2 linked regions of the Oryzias latipes genome follow. The protein of the gene in region 1 interacts with the protein of each later gene in a pairwise test. Links are inferred from orthologs where the notes say so. Each region holds a gene or a part of one and is shown on either strand. Other genes may lie near its edges. The genes, in order: prkg1 and mrvi1.

The links.
Region 2: the proteins of prkg1 (region 1) and mrvi1 interact in a two-hybrid assay, tested with the Homo sapiens proteins (2 studies listed by BioGRID). The link is inferred for Oryzias latipes from reciprocal best matches to the Homo sapiens genes PRKG1 and IRAG1.

What each region holds. Positions count from the first base shown.
Region 1 is NC_019873.2:20,228,309-20,234,727, reverse strand, and holds part of prkg1 (cGMP-dependent protein kinase 1), read right to left. Parts: intron 4,446-6,419; coding exon 4,368-4,445; intron 3,204-4,367; coding exon 3,109-3,203; intron 1-3,108. UniProt on the Homo sapiens protein: Serine/threonine protein kinase that acts as a key mediator of the nitric oxide (NO)/cGMP signaling pathway. GMP binding activates PRKG1, which phosphorylates serines and threonines on many cellular proteins.
Region 2 is NC_019861.2:20,005,053-20,011,471, forward strand, and holds part of mrvi1 (protein MRVI1), read right to left. Parts: intron 5,936-6,419; coding exon 5,759-5,935; intron 3,423-5,758; coding exon 3,316-3,422; intron 3,238-3,315; coding exon 3,176-3,237; intron 2,857-3,175; coding exon 2,683-2,856; intron 2,532-2,682; coding exon 2,451-2,531; intron 2,290-2,450; coding exon 2,246-2,289; intron 2,005-2,245; coding exon 1,948-2,004; intron 1,619-1,947; coding exon 1,178-1,618; intron 1,098-1,177; coding exon 1,019-1,097; intron 626-1,018; coding exon 511-625; intron 348-510; coding exon 317-347; intron 1-316.

The sequences.
Region 1 (6,419 bases):
GAAATCTAATATTGCAGCTATTAATATTTTTTAGAAATGTACACACTTTTTTGGCAGAGTTTAAGAATTACCCATGCTTATTTGTCAGATCTAATATTTGTGCCAAGCTTCAAGATTTCTGGAATAGTAATTGATTAAAATCTAAGCCAAAACTTTAGCATTTCCCTGATGTCGCAGTTTATAATGAGAGAACTTGTGCTAAATTGGGCCATTTCTTAAAACCTTAATCTATTTATTTCAGGCTGAACCATCAGCCACAAAAGCACCAACTAATCTAAAGAGCAGTGTTGGTCTAAAGGGATAAGGGAGAAGTCATAGCTTAGTAGAGACTTTACAGGATAACCATAAATCAGTTTGAGGAAAAACTGTTTCTGTACTTTTGTTACCAATGAAGGAGTTGGTGAATAGATCTGAATGAGTATTTCTGGCAGAAATAAAGTCCTTAAAAACAAGAATGTGATTTACGATGTGACGGCATGCCAACACTAACTCCCCGCTACATTGTAGAGGTAATTTATCAGAGTGCTATTGTTGGTCAGAAGGTGTACAGACCCTGACACCTATTTCTCTGTCAATGACACCAGGCTGTTTTAATAGCACACACGTCCTTGATTTTTCACACACCAAATCCACTCATATGATGGACAGATAGATCTGTGGATCTGCAAAAGATTTACGCTTATTCACAAGGGACAAGCATGGTTGGATACTTTGGGAATTTCCAGACCCTCAGTTATGCTTGGTCGACTTGATGGTGCATTCAGTTTAATAGGATAAAGGTAAAAACAAATTCAAACCATTAAATTTGTTTCCCAGCTTTACATGCATTGCAGCCCAGCCCTCCCACAATCTAAACCTTGAAAGCTACCAGAAGAACAGCTTTTGATTTGTAAAATACGTTCTCACCGATCAAAGGCAACATCTTCAGATGGCCAGAGTAGCTTCTCTGTAGAGGTTATTGAGTTTCATGAGCAAAGACACACAGTTAACTAATTAGAAAGACGACCCGACAGAGTCCTCTGATCAAAAGCCTGGTGCGAAGATGGGCCAGGCTTCCTGAATTTGAATGTGCGACACATGCTTGACTATCAAAGGTGCAGCTGAATAAGCTCCTCAAGCTCAAGACACTCCAAGACAAAAAGGTGTTTATGGCAAGAGACAATGGAAATGTGAAGGGGTTTCTTACATGAAAAAGTATGATTTTCTTTATTTAAGCCAAACAATGAGGGGCTCTTTTTCGTGCTTTGAAGAACAATGCAGAGTGCTTCAAATCTTTTCTGAGAAACGCTTAAAATGCTCAACAACATACATCTACATTGAAAGATTTAAGGTTTTTGGACAGACATCATGTAGGCAATTTTTATTAAATTAAAACCAGATAAAAGCGAGAAAGACTTGTGATTAATCACTACTCTGAACAAATAGTTCCACACAAAAAAAAACTGGTGAGTTTATTACAGTACTGACCCAAATTTCTCCTTAGAACATAATGTCCACAAAACTACTTCAGTATTCAGCTGCTTTGCAACTCCTGCCATCTTTTTCTGTCCAAAAGTCAGATTTTTTTTTGCATATGTCGGAGCTTTCCAGATGTCCATCTCCTGTACATTAGATTGGGCACTACTTTAGCAAACAATCAAGATCAATGTTTGAAACGGCTACTAAGGTCAAGTTGCTTTTGTACATAATTTTGCTTGAAGTCAGCATTTGCATGAGGTCTTTACATTGTACATGACCTTTGGCCACAAGATGGCATCATCTCCATTTATTTGAACTCCCTTCATTTGTCACCTTTGTGCTCAAAATGAATATGCAGGAGCCTGTCTCCTGTTTATTCCTTACTGCTCATACAGCGATAATCCACTCATGATTATTCTCTGTCAATTGTCTAAATAGCACATCAACTCAGGAGCTGCAAAGAAGCGGACAAATGGCATGAAAAGGAGGAAAATGTGTTTTTTTGGGTGCTCGTCTTTGATGCTGAAAGCAATTTAAAGATGACTTAATACTCTACAGATGATCCTAAAAATGCTTTGGAGCAGGTGTCCTAAATTACTGCATGTTGAAGCAATTTTGAAAGGAGCAGAGTCCAGATATTCAGAGCTCAAATGTTTTTAATTAGCTTTTTAATGCGTTTTGAACCTTCTCAGAAAACAATATAATGTTTTTTATTGAGGAAATCAAGTGGTTTACTGTATTGTGTCCTTCAGTGTCCAATAAGATGACTTTTCTTGTTTATTGTTTTTTTTTACTGAAGAAACAAAAGCAGACCAGCTTACCTACATGTTTAAGTTCTGTCGTCATGTTCTAAAACATCCAGAATTTGGTCATATTTCAGCTTTTTCTGATTTAGGGTCTGTTTTTCTAAAAACACATGCTTTTTATGAAAGGATAATTGAAAATCATGTTTAATTTTGCACACATTTAATCTAATTCTTCTGCAACGCCAGAAACATGCAGCATTTCATATAATTGTTTATGGAGGAAGGAGGCAAAAAATTAATTAAAGCAGCTGAGGATTAGGTTGAAAGGTTTTTTGCTCTCAAAGCTTTGGCATCCAAGAAATGAACTGAGAAGAAAAGACAAAAGACGTGTTTCACCAAATGAAATGAGGTTCCAATGGGTACACAAATGCAACATTTCTGTCACATTAAGTGACTTCTTGCCTCTAGTTTCTTGTCTGCTAGAAATAAATATAGGCAAAAACCACAGATGTTACTGTGGCTGTGAGGGATCACTATTGCCTTTTTTTTTAGTTTCTCATTAATTCTGTCTTTTGTTTTTCTCTCATGCAAAAGGGATTGACGCTAAACTCTTATAGTTGTTTGTACTAATGGGAATAAAAATACATGAGCATTCAGCTTCAAATTTATGGCATAATTTTTATTCTAACAAATCTATAGTGCAAGAACACTCAGTTAACCTCTTTTTAGTGCAGAAGTTTTGGTTTGACACACTTATGAACTCATTTAATAGTCAGCGTCACTTACCAAATGTTATATGGCTCCCTACTTAGTAGTTTGAAGTAGAAGATATTTAACAGAATAGGTAAATATACTAAATTGAAATTCATAGGATCGGAAGCGTAGGTATTTCAAGAGATCTCACCCTTGCAGTGCTTTCTCTCCAAACCAGTCTCCCTTCCCAAGGCTGCGGAGGTAGACAGGCTCTCCATTTGGCAAGTCTTCTCTGGTCACATTAACCTGAAAAGAAAAGGGCAATGCGGGTGGAAAGTTAAAGAAAAGACAAGCGTGGCTTCGAGAGGATGAGGTAAAAACAGAGTGAATTGAATTGCACACAGAGGTGGCAGACATTCCTGAGCAGAGTCTGTTACAAACAGATAAGAGTCATTACTGTGCAGGACCTGAGCAAACGCTTGACCACTTCATTAGGGAGATTACACGCGAGTGACGGCCCTCTGCTGTGCCCCAAGACTCTACAAATCAAAGGAATGACACTTGAGCATATTTTCGAAGAAGTGGATGAGATTACCCCTTCGCCCAATGAAGGATCTTGTCTTAAGCCATTAGGTGTAGCAGGAAGTCCACCGCCAGCATACAAAAATGACACGCAGCTGAGTGACAACAAAATTAACAGCGATTCTGTACGATCAAGTAACAGCAGGGGAAAAAAAACATAAAAAATAAAAAAGGAAGATTTGCTGCAGAGTAAATCTACTACTGAAGTAGGCAACATCGGTAAAGTCCGGACATTCATGTCTCAGTCCAGGTATTTATGAGCTAATCTGTTTGCTCTGGGCTATGAAGTGACCTGAGTCAAAGGATTTGACAGCTTGTGAATTTTTTTTCTGTTTGGATTTAAAAATAAGTTGAAGTTTTTTTTTTTTTCCCTCCACACTTCCAATGTTAGTTTCCCACAACTTCTGCCTTTTGAGGCTCAGAGGGACTACCAGCAGAAAGAACAGCTGTTTGTCGTCGATAAGCATGTCCCTATAAAATGAAAAATGAAAAATACGTTCTTGCTTGATGTGCGGGGTGGAAAAAAAATTGCTGAATTCAAGAAAAGCTAGAAGAAAGAAAGAATACTGGCAACCATCGTGGTGTGAAATACATGTGAAAGCCCACAGGCGGTGATGTGACTTCTAGACAGTACTGTGCTCAGTGAAAAAGCCAGTGTTGATTACTGAAAAGGAAAATCAAAGTGACACCATTCTGCTTTCTAGAAACTCCCACTGCTGCTGTAAGGAATGATGAAAGAGGATGTGCTTCTCCTCTATCGCTCGGTGATTGATGACAGCTAAAAATGCCACCTCTTTGCTTTTAAAGACAGGCATTTTCATGTGACACGATGCCTTGCCTTCCGATGAGGATTATATCGAGGTTGCAGCCTCACGGGGCTGTCCTCACCTTTCCTTTGCTGATAATGAAGAAGGTGTCTCCTCTGGCTCCCTGTCTGATGATGTACTCTCCTCCTGCATAGTGCGTCTGGCAGAAAAAAAAAAAAGGGGGGGGGGGGGGCAAGACCAAAGAAGGGAAATGTTATTTATGCTCATTGTGGTTGTTTTACCCTTTTTCTCACCTAGCATGTAAGGCAGTGTCTAAACACTTTTATGAGGGGAGTTAAGATGATCTAGACTAGAGCAATGCAATACAGCATAACTAGACTCGTTGTCTGGTTGAAAGCTGTGTTGCTGCTTTCCGCCCACTGCTTGCTTTGGTATGCACTGCAACCTTTTAATGTGAGGAATCAGGTACAAAATAAATAAATAAACGAATGTTTTTGCATCTACTATAAAAGGAAAAAGAGAGGTCAGTCGCAAGAATACATAAACAGAGGATATCCATCCATAAATGTGTTTTTTACACCCACAGCACTTCTGCTAAGGGTTGAGGGCAGTGGAATGTAACACAGCATGCAACGGGCTCTTGACTCATCATTCAAGCACAGGAATGACATACAAACTAATGGAAACTGAATGCACCTGCTTTTTAGTCAGAACCACCACTTTAAGCAGTTTTTTAACGATGAACCAAGCTAAAGGGTAAATGTTTTGATGGATAAAGAGACTAAACATGTCAGATGTGACATCTTATAATGCAATGATCAAAATAAACTGTGGAAAAGAAAGAGGCAAGTGGCTCAGTGTGTTTAAGAAACAATCATGAGGTTCACAAAGTATCGTGTCAGTTTGGGTTTTCCAGCAAAAAGCTTTCAATTTGATCCTCCTGCATGATAAAACTTACTTCAGACCGGAAACTAGATTTTCACAGAGGTTAACATTTGCCATTTCATTTATCACCTGAATTGAGGCAGGAAATGTGTTAAATGTAAACCGTACAGAAAGTAATTTGGTGACCGCTTAATCAAAGAATTTCTTTTTCGTGAATTGTGTGGTTCAAATGCCACATCACACTTTTTCTCCTAAGAATGTCACAGCACCATTAATTCTACTGGTATTTTGAACCATAAAACCTAAGTTATTTTAAAAAAATTACGTTACTAAAATGTATGTTGGATGCATATTTCAATGCATCCAACATTTCTTTATGATTTAGGATTGTCCATTTCTTTTCTTCAGGCCAATTGGACTTATAGGATCAAGAAATTTAAGGAAAGAGGATCAATTCTTGTTAAGGACAATTCAACTTCTATCCTTGGGTCCAGTGTACTAACATCTGTCAATAAAAGATTCTTATAACTCCCCAAAGAAAACAGAAGTAGCTACACAGTATTTAGAGCTGTATTCTTAACATCCACTTATCCATTTTCGACCCTTATGTCCAGTTCAGGGTCACAGGGTTGCTGGAGGCTATCAAGCTACTGTTGGGCAAAAGGCAGGGAACACCCTGGACCACTTTCTAGATGATAACATGGCTTTTTTAAACCCAGTTTGCTCGATAAGTCTGTGCTTGTTGTGAAAACACCAATCAACAAATTCAGAAACTACCGTAATTGTTGCTGATGCAACAAATTGTATGATCTTTATCTCTGAAAATATGCTGCATTGTATCCAATTCATCAAGGAGGTTTTTGACAGAATGTGCTTTGATAATCCAACAGAAACCCTCTGAGAGGGAGTGACACGCTCAAAGACTATTCTGCTGCCTGAGTTCCAAGTTGATTATTTTACTTTGTCACACTGTAAACTGTGTTTACTGCCAGCCCCATCCATTTCTTTAATATCCTGTTATTATTTTTTGTTTTGTTTCCCCTTCCTGAATGCAGCTATCATCTAATTATTGACATAAGAGCAATCAACACACTCTATAAACCTGGCAGAGAAAAAAAAAAAAATCAGATTCTACAATCCCATCAGCCATCCTCTGTTTTCATTTTTGTATGTTATTTCTTTTATTATATTTTTAATAAAAACTATAAAACAAGGAATGTATTTGAAAGATATTTAAAATGTTTTTTTAAAAACCTGAAAAATTCAGGTTGCTATAGTGATGCTCAAG
Region 2 (6,419 bases), on another chromosome or scaffold:
TTTTTAATGTTCTAGAGGGAAATAACGGGGGTCGATGCGGTTTTTTGTTTCACCTGTGACAACCTGTACAGCATTGTTGGCCAACTCAAATTATCAGTTGTCTACTGACAAAAAAAAACAACTTTAATTTCTGGAATGTTTTCACTGTAACAACATGTTTCTTCACACCATCATATAACCCTAAAATCAAGAAACTTGCAAACATCAGAAAACCTGTTCTAAATGTGTCATCTTTTGCATGAAACATGTCCAATACTAAACAGAAAAACACACAAGTTCACTAACATGGAACCACTTGAACAGAATAGGTACCCACCTCCACTTCTTTTTCACTGAGTGGGGGTGCACTAGTATGAAACAGAAGAAATTATTGTCAATTAGACAAATTAGAGTGTACTTCATTTTTACATAGAGTACTTAGACTGTACCTAAGTATACTTATTAAAAACAAAGCAGCAAAAAAGATTTTTGGTTATCAAATAATGAAAGTCAAATTGATTTGTTACCCACCAGCCTGGCAGAGCTCGATGGAGTTTGAGTTTTCTCAGCATCATGTCTGAAATGTTTGGCATGGCATTCTCCTTCCCTTCCTCAATGCTGGCTGACTTTGAAGATGATAAAGGTCCTGTGGAGAAAACAACAATAACAACACAACATAGTTTATTTATTTATTTACACAGGAATGAAGTTTAATGTAAAAATAGGTCAATTCTTATTATGGTCTCTTTAATTTGAATATACCAAAAAGTGTTATTATTTCAAAGTAAAAAAGCTTAGTCTCTTATTGTTAGGCACTGAATTTTGCTTTAACAATTATGCCATCTACTGCCAGAAGATAAAAATGCATTTTGTGTTTTCTTTTACAAAACAGAGCAGATCCTCGGATTTTTGTGTAAAATCGATTTTTTTGTGTGTGTGTGATGCTAGGTGGTTTATGCTGCACTTTTTACCTTTACCTTTTTTACCGTTTTGCATCTTTGATCTTTCAAGAAAAAAAACAACAAATAGTAACCATTACCTTTTTCCTGTTCAGTAGCTTCACTAAGTTCTGGTAACTTTGACGCCACAATGCTTTGGTTACGCATCAGCTTGTGCTCCTGTGGACACAAACACATTCATCATGCAGAAAACCAGTAAAAAAAATCCCTTCAAGGGGCTTAGTAAATGTGCACTTTACCTCTCTGAGCTTTGTCAGTTTGCGCACACCTCCTGGTTGTGTGGGAAAATCCTTGTACCCTGAGGACTTGAACGCAGCTTCCCTGGGCTCTTCTGAGAGAGGGTCTTCAAGTGTTGGAGGAAAACTTGGGGATCCATTTCTGGAATTCATGCTGCCTACAGCATCCCAGGAAACAGCTCTCATCAGTGGTGGAAAGGCCCCAATTGTCTTAATCTCTGCTGTGCAGGGGGCTTGCTGAGTAGGGGGCCTGGGGACAGGCTTGGCCACCCCAGTGGCAGGTGCTTGGTTTAGGTTTCGGCCTGAAACTTCATCTGCTTTACTAAGTGCAGAGGAACACTTGGGCACAGCAAGGTCGCAGTTCTCGTTTTGTACAGAGAACCGAGGCGTTAAAGTCCCAGAAGACACCTTTCTTTTCTCTGAGGGCTTCCACTCCACCAACAGCTGTTCAGGTTCAGCAAGGAAACAAAAGATTGTGTTATGAACAATTCACATCTATTCAGATGTTTAGAATGGGCTGTTGGCCACTAGTACAACATAATCACAGCTTGATTTCAAAGTGATTTTTCTTTTACCTTTGGATTGACCTTTGCAACTGCAGTTACTTTCTGCAATCAGGAATTGCAGAGCTTTTCTAAAACGTTTTCTCAGCTGATGGAGCTTCAACTAAACAATTATTTTTCAATAAATCAATAAAATAAAACCCTTGACACTTCTAGTTCAAGTCATTAGTGTACAGATGGGAAAACATGTAGAGAGTCTGTCATTCTGACCTCCAGATCCTTGCTCTTTGAATCAGACGACTCCCTCACCAGCGGCACATCACGATGCTGCAGCAGGAAAAAATACAAGATCAACAACAACTGACTCAGGTAGCTCTCTTTCTGGGAAGCCAAGCAATTTAAGGGCTAATAAACCTCATTTTCAGACAACAAAAAAATAAAAAAATAAAAAATAAAATGTACACTTTCTTGTTTTAGCCAAGGAAAAACAATTGAACTTTTGGGAAAATACTCTGAATTATTCCTGTTTCATAAAGACAGAGGTCATAGACAAACAAAAAAGATGAACCTGAAAGGCAGACTGGGAGCTGACATGGGTCATCTCTGAGCTTGCTGCAGACAAAAGAGCAGAATATGAGTTTAAAAAATAAAAACAAGGTCTTTGTGGCTTTAGGTTGATTGAAAGTTATCCGCTGAATCAAGAAAACTATACTTGTAGAAGCAGATTTGTTTTTGTTTTTTTGATGTTTGAGAAATATGAAGTGAGAACAGACCAGTTTGAGGGGCCACAATTACTGAGCTGCTCCTTGAGGAAGATGGTGAGGAAGATGGAGGAGTTGGACAAGGAGAAAGAGCTGTGAGGGAAAGTCATCCATACTAGTTTTAATCACAAATTTAAATTAAACACTTTTGAAATGTATTGCAACAATATTTAACATCTTTTAAGCAGTCAGTGCTTGAACTCTGTTATTCATTGGTGTACGTGTGGGTTTCTGCATGGAGTACCTGTAGGGGACTCTGTGAGGCTGCTGGTGGATCTACGTCCTCGGCGAGACAGAAACCGATCGCTGACCTTTTTTGCCTGCTCCAGCAGCTCGAGGTTCTTCTGTCGATCCTCTTCGGACAGCTGTGGCTCTGGCAGCTGATCTCTCAGTAGGTCTATCACATTACCTGTGCTGTCTGTACAGAGGGACACGACTCAGATGTTTACACATCCTCTGCGGGCTCCTGGGGGGAAGTAACCCTTTTTTTTCTTGTTTTTTAGGAGATCCTTTAAGCAATTATTGGTAAAATATCTCATCACCAGAATTAGAAATGTTATCATCTCATTATAAAGCAAAACCTAATAGTTAAAAACATCCCTTGAAAAAAAAAAGCAACGTTCCTCCCAGTGTGTGTCTTTAATTTGATGCTGGGCGGCCACAAATTGTTCTCACAGTGTTTATTTTTAGTAATTACTGCTGCAAAATGTCTGGGTGTATTTATGGGATCTACCCACCGACTGTGGTGATGGGTCCTCCAGAGGGCTTCTTAACCAGGCGAGCTCTGGGACTGTGTGGTCTGATACAACAAATGTTATCCAGAGACAAAGATTAAACACAAAACTTTTTATCATGGTTTGAGTTTAAGCTATTTTACCTGGCCTGTTCCAAAGAATGCCAATCAGCTTGTTCAGCAGTGACCTGCTGTGGGTAGATGATTGTGGGGGCTGCAAACACGATGGTTTGGCATTCACTGGGCGTGGACTGTAAATAAAAAAATTAAAAAAAGCATTTGTGTTTGCTTAAAACAGACAGACGATCACTAGACAAATAATACAGAAGTTCCTGAAACTTTTTAAAATTGGGTTTTGATATTTGTGGCATCAATACCCAAAGACTCACAGCTCACTGGACACTATGCGCTTTGTTGTAATCAGATTTCCAAATGGCCCAACATACAAGGCTCTTTGATAACATTATATATCAAACAAAGGAATAGTAAACAACTGTAAAGACCTGCAGACTTTGCTTTCAGAGCTTATCATTTAGAATGTAGGATTTGCATTTGCAAAAAGGCTGTGTTGGCGCTTACTTTCCTGCTAATTTCACAGTACACCCGTTGTTGCGTCAAAAATAGGAAAATACGCCAGGCCTCTCAGCTATCAGGGCTTTGTTCTTGTCGTTCACTGTAGCCGCCATGACAGAAATGTAATGATTGACATTTGTAATGGCACGTTTTCTTGAAGGAGTTCTTCATAACTTTATTTCTTGTCTTTTTGTTGTCATTATCAGCCATCAAGTCCAGGTCCTACCCTCAAAACCAGTTAGTTACAATTTTATTGTTAGAAACAGTTTTTACATTTCTCACTTAAACATATAAATCATTTCTTTTTATTATAACAATAAAAAGAAACAATGTCGTTCCAGGAGCTGACTGTCGTAACTGATTGAAAGTTCCTTTCCTGAAAGGATCCAAACCCTGTAAGTTTGCTGTCAGTGAAAAACTTCACATGCCAATCCGAGAAGCAGACAAAAAGTTAGAGGTTTGAAGAAGTCAACTCTCAGTTAGAAAGATCACATTTTTATAAACTAGAATCACCCTGATGCTAGTTCAATTGGAACTTAGAGCATCACGTAATAAAATATTGATATGTAGGGGACCAACAATCTGTCCAGGATGCAGCCCTTCTTTCCATCCATTCCATGCTTATCAATTCCAGTTTTGCTACAGAAAATTCCATCTGTTATTTTTTGCAGTGGTAAAGTACTTGAAATATTCAGACAACACATTCTTGGCCTTATTTGAAGAAGTCTTTACTTTATATCACACACATTAAAATCTATTAAAACATTGTGGGACATTCACTGTAAGTAGTAGCTGAAGCCTTTTTGTTACATCATCGGAGGGCATAGATACCAACATCTGCTAATACTGCCTCTTGAGTTCTTTACATTTTATACTCACTTTTACCATCAGGGTTGAGACACAGTGTCTTGTGGCTTAGAAAAGGTTGGAAAATGTTCAGTCATACATTATTTCATCTGGAGAAGATTTTAATGATCTTATTTCTAGTTGAAATCTTTATAAATATATATTTTACATGTGTAAACAAACATGCTTTGTCATTTATTCTCTTAGCTTAGCACAAGTTTGAATTTCCCAACTTCATTATGACTTTTGAGATTCATGTGTTTCTTACGGACGGCACCAAAAACACTTTATGGTGGCTTAATTTTAAAAAGTCAGTTTTAGATGCTGTTAAGTATAGAAATGCTGTGCTAAAACAAGGTAAATATTTTCCTATTTACATTTTTTTTGCCTAAATCAGACTGCTTATAAATGGCATCGAGAAATGCAGTGCAGCTCTGAAAATAAAACGCTGCTAAAAAAAAGCAAATGAAGAAAATTACTCATGGTTGATTTGAGTCATGCACACACATTTTCTTTCTTTATTTAAATAAACTCTGAGGTTAAGATAAGTAAGAATTTAGTCATGGAAGACCTATCTAAACTAAGACTTTGAGTTACAGATAGCTCTCAAAGGACCCAAAGCTGCCATTTTGCTGAGACTTGGAACCCAGTCCAAAGAACAAAAATGGCCTCCCTTAAAAAACAGAGAGAAGCCTTTAAACCTCAGCTGATTTGACTGATTTCGCTTGTGTGCTTTGAAATTCCTCACATCCTTTCGGAGGACCTCAGCAGAGCTCCGGTAGATTCATGAGGAAAGGCAAGTAGTCTTCAAAGACTGATTGTAAATCAGCCCTCAACAAGATTCATTTGTAAACATTATGAGGGAGTTAATTCAGCATAAAGCCATAACAGTAAAATATGCACCAATTCAAATGCCATTACTTCAGTTTATGGCATGGCTAGCTTGTGTTTGTTTGTATGCACAGCTGCACTTTAGTTTGACAGACAGTCGAAATAAAGCATTGTTGGTTGAATAAAATAACATAGTGCTCAGCTCTTAGAATCATTTCAATGAATAATCATTTAAAAACTTCTTTCATAGTTCAGACTTATGAAGCATCCACCTTGGACTTTGGTCCTACAGCCAAATAGATCATAAAAATGTGCGTGTGAATGTGACAGAACTCACTGTTCTAGGAGAGCTGGAGGAGCTATCCATCTCCTCTGGAGATTCCTCATCTTCTTCGGGAAGTGTGGGCATGATGAGTGAGGGGCTGGTGTGCCGGAACCCACAGCTTTTTTTGAAGTTAAGATCTCCTCTGTGACGAGGAGAGCCCTGCAGCAAATGTTTCTCTTCTTGCCAGAGCTGTAAGACCAGGAACACATACCTAACCCATGTATTTCCGCATGCACAAAAGTGGATGAGAAAGGAAACATTTCTTCTATATTTGATTCTGGAATTCCCCAAAAATAGCCCCTGCTTTCTAGCTCTGACTAAATGAAAAATACCTCAGTGTTATATCATAAACAAATCCCCAATTAGCTTCATCCTCCTGTACAATGGACTATAACAAACTCGGTAGGAATTGAACCACTGCTCAAAACTATTACAACATTCCCTCTGACACTGTCACTTCCAAGATCCTACAAATATAAGGGCCATATGAATCACACAGAGAAAAATTCTACAAAATATTTCATAATCCATCCATCCATCCATCCATCCATCCATCCATCCATCCATCCATCCATCCATCCATCCATCCATCCATCCATCCATCCATCCATCCATCCATCCATCCATCCATCCATCCATCCATCCATCCATCCATCCATCTTCCTCCGCTGAT